Linked DNA regions of Kluyveromyces lactis. The protein of the gene in region 1 interacts with the protein of each later gene in a pairwise test. Links are inferred from orthologs where the notes say so. Each region holds a gene or a part of one and is shown in the gene's direction. Other genes may lie near its edges.

Region 1 (2,610 bases):
AAATATATGTTCCTGGGACTGCTCACCCGGACATTTTTGTTTTAGTTTTTTTTCCAATTTTTTCTGCATTGCCATTTTGGGTACTTATCTCATTGAAAATGTTCATTTATCTGAAGCATTAACCCATACACCACATGTGTTGGTGAGTAAATACTGTCTTTCAGATGATTTTTTCATTTTCACCATACCAATCGCAGCGATTCGGACGGTTTGACGAATATTGTTCTCATCATCGCTTTACAATCTGGTTCATTATGAACATAAGTGCCATTGGACATACAAGATACTTACTTTAGTTAGTTTTATTATCACCTATAATTTCGAGCTCCCCGACGAACAAATAAAGTAAAAATGGTTGCCATTATCTCCAAGAAGAGAAAGCTTGTCGCTGACGGTGTTTTCTACGCCGAATTGAACGAATTCTTCACCAGAGAATTGGCTGAAGAAGGTTACTCTGGTGTCGAAGTCAGAGTTACTCCAACCAAGACCGAAATTATCATCAGAGCTACTAAGGTTCAAGATGTTGTTGGTGAAAATGGTAGAAGAATCAACGAATTGACCTTGTTGATTGAAAAGAGATTCAAGTACAAGCGTGGTACCATTGCTTTATACGCTGAAAGAGTCCATGACCGTGGTTTGTCCGCTGTTGCTCAAGCTGAATCCATGAAGTTCAAATTGTTGAACGGTTTGGCCATCAGAAGAGCTGCTTACGGTGTTGTCAGATACGTTATGGAATCTGGTGCCAAGGGTTGTGAAGTTGTCATCTCCGGTAAGTTGAGAGCTGCTAGAGCCAAGTCCATGAAGTTCGCTGACGGTTTCTTGATCCACTCCGGTCAACCAGTCAACGACTTCATTGAAACCGCTACCAGACACGTTTTGTTGAGACAAGGTGTTTTGGGTATTAAGGTTAAGATCATGAAGGACCCATCTAGAAACACCTCTGGTCCAAAGGCTTTGCCAGATGCTGTTACCATCATCGAACCAAAGGAAGAAGAACCAGTTTTGGAACCTTCTGTCAAGGATTACAGACCAACTGAACCAGTTGAAGCTGCTGAATCTGCTTAAATCAATTGATATCTGTTTGATTCTATATTATTAATTAGTCTATTAAATACCGTTCTTATATGTATAAATATTAAGAAACTCATCAATTCTTTTAAAAATAAGTAATCTATGCCCAGATGACATCGATTAAAACGTCCTGCTTTTATCAATGGATTTTTAAAATGATTTATCGATAGCGCCTTCCGATAATGCCTTTCCGCCTTTCAGTTCCTTTATCTTTCATACTAATCAAAAAAATTCGGTGGGCAAAAATCATGTAAATTATTAAAAAAAAAGAGAATATATAGTGCGTACTGAAAAAACCAATGGCTCAATTATAGATGAATTGTTAACCATTTAATACCACACGTAGGGTCTATACGTTCCATTTTTAAGAGAACGTAGGTATCGCTCACTAAACACATTGACTGAAAGTAAATATGGGCCTAACTTATAAGGATTTTTGTGCTGTAGGTACAGCATTGATCATTGGATCAACTACTTTTTTGATGGGGATCTTCTTTTCTAATCAACCATATGACTATAATATCCTATTCAATCCTGCTGCCACGCCGGAGCATTTTGAGAACGCTTTGAAACACTACCAGACTCTATTCTACACGGCCAAGCCAACCCTTTATATGCTTGGTGCGGTGGCCATTGTGGGAGTCATTGGTTCCTTGATTAGGGTATACAAGCCAAATCCAGATTTGCAATTATTTGAATACGGTTCATTGGCTTTGTACGTTTTGGGTATCTGTGTTTTCTTAACAAATATCAAGACCGGTGTTGAATCTGCGGTTTACCATAACTGGGGTGAAGTCTCTGAGGCGCAAGGTATTGCTGTTGTTGCCTCTTCCAATATCATTATTTTAATTGTCTTTGCTGGTGTCTTAGTGTTGCAAGGAGGTTTGTGGTACAGTACCTGGGAATATGAACAAAGATTAGATCAATGGAGGAAAGACCAATTGAAGGAATCTGCCGCTAACCAACAGAAGGCGGAGAAAACTACTGAACCAGCTAAAACGGAATCTAAGAAGAAGAAATAGACGAAATTTGTTTCCTTACAGTTTGATGCGGTGAAGTATTTCGCGTTGCTTTCACTATTTACAAGCTCTTGTTCTATATATTATATAAATGATATGAAATACTTGGCTATTCCGACATGGATAACTTGAGATGAAACCCAAAGACAATCTAAGGACCTTATTATTGATGATTTAATTGCTGTATATTATCTTCACCCATTATCATTGGAAATAAACGTAATATGATAATGTTTAATATCTCATTACCATTTGTAAACACCACCCATAGAACCTCTGATGGGTTTATCTGCTAATTGAACCCACGGTTTCTTCCTTTGTTCTTTTAGTTTGGCTTCGTGCTCTAGTCTTCTCTTCGTTACACTCTTGGTCTTCAATATGCATTTGATATGCACATATGGGTGTTCAATGAGACCACGTCTACCTCTACCCTTCCATTCGACACGTTTTTGCCAAAATCCATCACTGCCGGTCCATATCTGGGAGATGTATAGGTCATTGGCATCCAAGCCAAGCTTCA
Region 2 (2,551 bases), on another chromosome or scaffold:
TTCCTGAAATATGGGTTTCTATGGAAAAAAGGAGTCAAAGGCGCAGGGAATGCTATAGGTGATTGCTGTTTTTGCTGTTGCTGTTGCTGTTGCTGTTGTTCCTGGGTCTGACCCTGACCCTTATATGGAGACGAGCTACTCGCCTTGGCGAGTTGCGTCTCCAACCCAGAGCTATGCGAACGTGTATCTTCGTTGATCATCTGTAAAATGTATGAATGTATCTTGCCTTACAACTTGTAAGTTGTAACTAGTTTTCTAAAGCAAGTAACTAACTCACTTGACAAAGGCAATCTGCGATGAAGCAGCGAACAGATTAATACGTCCAACAATAACCACTCGGTATATATACATATATATAGTAATAATAATAATAATAACTATCTCAATCAAGAAGGTAATATAAAAAGCATCACCAGGCCACCTTTAAAAAGCGAAGACCAGATCGACATCGATAAAGAAATAAGAAAAAGAGATAAAAGGAAAAGAAATAAAACACGGCAAAGAAACCGACAATGAAACACGCGGAAGAGGAAGATTTCCAGTTCCAACCATGACTCTATCCTATCAACTGGACTGGGAAAAACCAATGAACAAGGCAGAGACAGAAGTAAAATGGCTGCATAGGTGAAAGGAGTGACACATAATGGAAAAAAGTAAAAAGAGAGTAAATGTGTTCAGGAGTGAATTATGATCGAGGTGCGAGTCTGGTGTTGAAGGAAAAGAAACGGGGGGAAATATCGAAGAGACTGTGCACCGGTTTCTGGGCAAAATACCCGGAAAAACCTTTCGTTTTGGATTTTCTTTTTTTCCGGCACCAAGTTGGAACAGAGAGGTACCCAACGAAATGGCGGAGGAAGAATCAAAGAAGGACCAAAGTTCACAAAAAGAAATACGAGAGAATGTTGCTACAGGGGAAAGGAACATTCACAGACATAGCCCGATCCGGTTTGTTCCGAGGTGCGGGTAACAACTTAGCGCAGCTAACTCTTTCTTTCTCTACGCTCGGTGTATGCTGTCAAAAAAGTGTGGCTCTTCTAGTCACGTGATTACTGTTATAACGCGCCCGCTTATGTTACCCGGATATATGTATATTTGCTATATTTGTATTTTCGCCACCGTTCAACGTTATTCCGGGTAACACAATGGGTATCTCTCTCATCGTCAAAAGATTTTCTCGTCACTTCTTCCACATTCAGACTGGAATTTAAAATAAAATCTGTATACCATCTTTTCACATACGTATCTATTAAATGATGCACTACTACTTGTTGCACGTATTATCGGAACTACTCTTTTTCAACTTTATATACTTACTGATTTATGTATGCCTTTTCTAATAATTAGTTAGTTAGTTGTCCTTTGTCCACTGGAATCTGCCGTCGATAAGCAATTCATAGTTAGAAGAGAAGTGCTCTTTCTTACCAAGCCAATCCCAGCTGTAACTCTCTAACCACCACCATGAATGCTCAAATCAGTAACCTAGTCATCATGTTGATCATGATGCAAGTATCTCGTCGTTTGGATATGGAGGATCCTTCGATCGTGTTGTACATCCGTATCGCTTATGTCGCTTCTGTTGCCATCACTTGGTCCATCTACCAATACGCTAGAGCTCAAATCGTTAAGAAGAACGATTTGGCCACTTTGAAATACGTGGCTCCAGCTAACCCATTGGGTGGTCAAACCGAGAAAAAATTGGAAGTCACTACCGTTCGTGATTACGATTTACAACAGATTGATTCTGCCATTAAATCCATCTACACTGGTTTGGCTATGATGGGTTTCATGCATTTGTACATGAAATACACCAACCCATTGTTCATGCAAACCATCTCACCAATCAAGTCCGCTTTGGAACATAACGAAGTTCAAATTCATTTGTTCGGAAAACCAGCTTCTGGTGATTTGAAGAGACCTTTCAAGACTCCATCTTTGTTCGGTGGTGCCGGTGGTGCCAGTGAACCAAAGACTGACAAGAAATCTATCGAAACTGCTGAAAAGGCTGGTAACGGTGGTGTCAAAGCTGAATAATCGGGACGCGCATCGTTGCGTTTTCCAATCATGTGTTTTCTTCATCCATCTCTCACCATTCTCTTATAAATAAACACGTATATATGTATATAAATGTACATGCGTGTATGTATACAACTATTAAGATACCTCAATAGGATGTTTTATCGTAGCTTTTGTTCAGTTTCTTTCGTGTTTAAGTGTTAAATTGTACACATAGACTTCGCACTTTATTTGAAAGAAACGTGAATATTATTCTATAAAGATCAGACCCAACCCTTAACTGTTACTGATCGAGCCGACCAGATCAATATCCTCCAAGCAAAATGGATGTCAGTGATGTAAAAATATTGATCCTTGGTGCCGGTGGTCTTGGATGTGAGATTGTCAAGACATTGGCGCTGTACGGTTTGCCAGAATTACATATTGTCGATATGGATACCATCGAATTGACCAATTTGAACCGTCAATTTCTATTCAGTACCCGTGATATTGGCAAACCAAAAGCGTCTGTAGCTGCAGAAGCTATCAATAGATTGCA
Region 3 (3,191 bases), on another chromosome or scaffold:
GCATTTTCTAAGTCTCAAAATACTCCTCCATCTCCAGCACCAAGAGCATCCAAACCTGGAAAGAAAGAATCCGGACCATCAGCTATTGCTGAATATGATTACGAAGCCGGCGAAGATAATGAATTGACTTTTGAAGAAAATGAAAGAATCATTAATATTCAATTTGTCGATGATGATTGGTGGTTGGGTGAACTTGAATCATCAGGTGAAAAGGGTCTATTCCCAAGTAATTACGTCAACTTAGAGGAATGATCCAATAAATTACCACTACTCTAACTTTATCATTGTTAATAAATGATGATGTTATAAGTTGGTGGGACTTTGAAATGAATATATCATGTATACTTTACAAGTAAATAATGTTAAAGAAATAAAGTACAAAAGTAAACTAAACAAAAGTCTACTTATTTGCCTTTTACAATTTCAAAGTTCATATCTACTACGCTCACTTCTTCTCCAGCATCGTCATCATAATCATACCATTCGTTTTCGTCGTCTTCAAACTGAAACTCCATTTCCTTCTTCGAAACTAGTTCAGCTACAAAAATAGTGTCAGCAGGTTCAAATTTAGTTACTTCACATCCTCTGCAGTCAAGCTCGAGCCAAACAGCTTTTTCCACAGGAACAGAACGTAAGCCAACCTTCTTTCTGTCCTTTTTACCCTGTTCAATCAATTCGAAATTAGATTCTTCATCTAAATTATATAAGTCTTCCTTAGTCCTGGTCAAGTTTATTGAACACTCATTGCCACAAAATTTACATTTCATCACGAACGAGGCATTTCCTTTACTTCCAGGCATGTCATGAGATTCAAACCTATTGATTCTAATAGGGGAATCGTGCTCCTCTCTACAGCTGGTACATACTAATTTGAAGGTATATTCAGCTGGTGATTGTTCTGTATCTTTTGGGAAAATCCTTCTGATATTCTCTGACAAGGTGGCACAAGATGTCAAAAACAACATTATTTTGGGAGCCAAATTGGTACGACGATTACTTTGATATATAACGTTCCGGCTTCCGGTTCATAAAAACCCTGTAAGTTATCTCAATAGGGTCCTAGTCTCATTTGTTAGTGGTTCATTAATTTTTTTTTTTTTTTTTTTCACCAGCCTCATCCATAGGAAAGCATCTAAGAAGAAAATAGGTTTCGTTCAACATGAAAAAGATGCGTAACTAGGTTTGTGCCTACCACATGTAGAGAATGAAATAACATAGAACCTCGAAGTCAATTGATTTGTTTAATGGAAGTTCTGGGAGATCTGTGTGAATCATTGCTACTGTAGGGAGACGAGATATTAATACAAAATTAGAAGAAGCCTGGCGTAGTACTTTTGTCAATATAAAATAGCTAAAAACAATGAAGATGGATAGAGACACAGTGAGGATCTTCACTTTGATCATGGGGATGTATATTGCAGCCATTCTTCTTACCATGTACAACAAATGGATGTTCGATCCTAATAGAAGTTTGCATATTCCATACCCATTGTTGGTGACAGGCTTGCACCAAACACAGTTATGGGGTATGGCATATCTGTATCTCCGGTGGAAAGGTCAACTAACCCCCGAAAACTTGAACAAAGGTGATTGGAAGTACTATGCAAAGTACATTATCCCAACTGCTATAGCAACTGCTGGTGACATTGGTTTAGGCAACATTTCCTTCAAATACGTTCCATTCACTGTTTATACAATTGTCAAATCATCTACTATTGCATTCGTTCTTTTCTTTGGCTGTCTATTCAAGGTGGAAGTACCATCTTGGAGACTATTCATTATAGTGACATTGATGTTTTGTGGTGTTGTGATGATGGGTTTAAAACCAATAAACTCAGATAGCTCTCAGACTCATGGTGAAATTCAGGAAACCTTTGGTGTGATACTTGTGGTGATAAGTTGTGCCCTAGGAGGGTTCAGATGGGTCTACGTTCAAGTTATTCTCAACCACAAGAAGAACACCATTGTCTTGTCACCCAACGATGGTGATGAGTTGATGGCTGCTGACAAACCTGCTACTAAGAAAAACCCGGTCATCACTCTATATCAATTAGCTTTACCAATGACTATACTTCTATTTTCCACTTCATTCATAGTGGAACGTCCGATTCCTGATGTACTGCATTCTGAATTGATGACTTGGGAAGGTCATTCGAAACTCGCGGCTCTATTACGTGGATTAGCGCTTCTCACACTCCCTAGCTGCCTTGTTTTCATATTAACAATGTGTGAGTTTGGTATATTACAATTGGCTCCTGTATTAACTTTAAGTGTCACCGGGATCATCAAAGAACTATTCACCGTTTTCTTAGGCATGCTGGTATTCAATGAAAGGCTAGGATTTTACAACTGGTTAGGCATGATTGTTGTACTAATCGACGTATGCTATTACAACTACTACAGATACATGCAAAGAAAAAGACTACAAGAAGTACAACAGGACTACCAACTAGTAGAAACCGATGAACCCCCATGTACATCTACGCATGATGGTGATATTTGGTCAAATTTACAAGACAACATCAGTGGAGACTCGGCGACTGTATGGGAATTAGGGTCCTTGAATTCCAGAAAATCAATCGAATCTAACCTACCAGAGCTAACATCAGGTACCATTACCGAACCCACTAAAAACAAAAGTGACGACACCGTAATGGGTAATTCCAAATAAGTGAATCTGCATCATTCACCATATTTGCATTCTATCCTTTATCGATTTCATCTCACACTCTTTTTTTTCTCTCCTGCATGAAGTATAAACTAAACACTCCATTGCATATGCATTTGAATAATAACCATATCAAATCCCGAATTCACAAAGTCAGAATTCAGCTTCCTATAAGCTTCAGACAGCTTTACTCGAAATGTAAACTATATTAAACATGTACACTACTCAATTTACACGTTTTAGATGTATTCTAATGCCAGCTTCGGACTTTAGAATCAAATGCTTAAACTGCCATATATGAATGAGATCACGTGCGTTGCATCCGAAAGACTGTAAACTAGGATTCCCTGAGCAGACAGTTATTTCATTACTCTTATAGAGTGCAAATGATTAATATATTACCCGATCAACATGAGCACATCACTTAACACGAAGAACACAACTAACTACGTATTCAAGATAAGTATCTCCGTATTTTCTCCGGCCCGTTTAGCAGCATGTCTGGATTAATACTGACAGAAAT

The links. The genes of interacting proteins can lie anywhere in the genome.
Region 2: the proteins of SHR3 (region 1) and SND3 interact in binary tests that used the Saccharomyces cerevisiae proteins (3 or more experiments, as listed by UniProt). The link is inferred for Kluyveromyces lactis from reciprocal best matches to the Saccharomyces cerevisiae genes SHR3 and SND3.
Region 3: the proteins of SHR3 (region 1) and YMD8 interact in a protein complementation assay, tested with the Saccharomyces cerevisiae proteins (2 studies listed by BioGRID). The link is inferred for Kluyveromyces lactis from reciprocal best matches to the Saccharomyces cerevisiae genes SHR3 and YMD8.

Annotation. Positions count from the first base shown.
Region 1 is NC_006040.1:704,080-706,689, reverse strand, and holds SHR3 (Shr3p), read left to right. Parts: upstream 1-1,484; coding exon 1,485-2,093; downstream 2,094-2,610. Other genes in the region: RPS3 (40S ribosomal protein uS3), read left to right, coding at 352-1,065; MRPL22 (mitochondrial 54S ribosomal protein uL22m), read right to left, coding at 2,336-2,610.
Region 2 is NC_006038.1:832,063-834,613, reverse strand, and holds SND3 (Snd3p), read left to right. Parts: upstream 1-1,458; coding exon 1,459-2,031; downstream 2,032-2,551. Other genes in the region: glucose-induced degradation complex subunit VID24, read right to left, coding at 1-200; NEDD8-activating protein UBA3, read left to right, coding at 2,337-2,551. UniProt on the Saccharomyces cerevisiae protein: Functions in the SND pathway, a SRP (signal recognition particle) and GET (guided entry of tail-anchored proteins) independent pathway for targeting a broad range of substrate proteins to the endoplasmic reticulum.
Region 3 is NC_006042.1:941,562-944,752, reverse strand, and holds YMD8 (Ymd8p), read left to right. Parts: upstream 1-1,360; coding exon 1,361-2,671; downstream 2,672-3,191. Other genes in the region: ABP1 (Abp1p), read left to right, coding at 1-252; KLLA0_F10153g (uncharacterized protein), read right to left, coding at 405-965.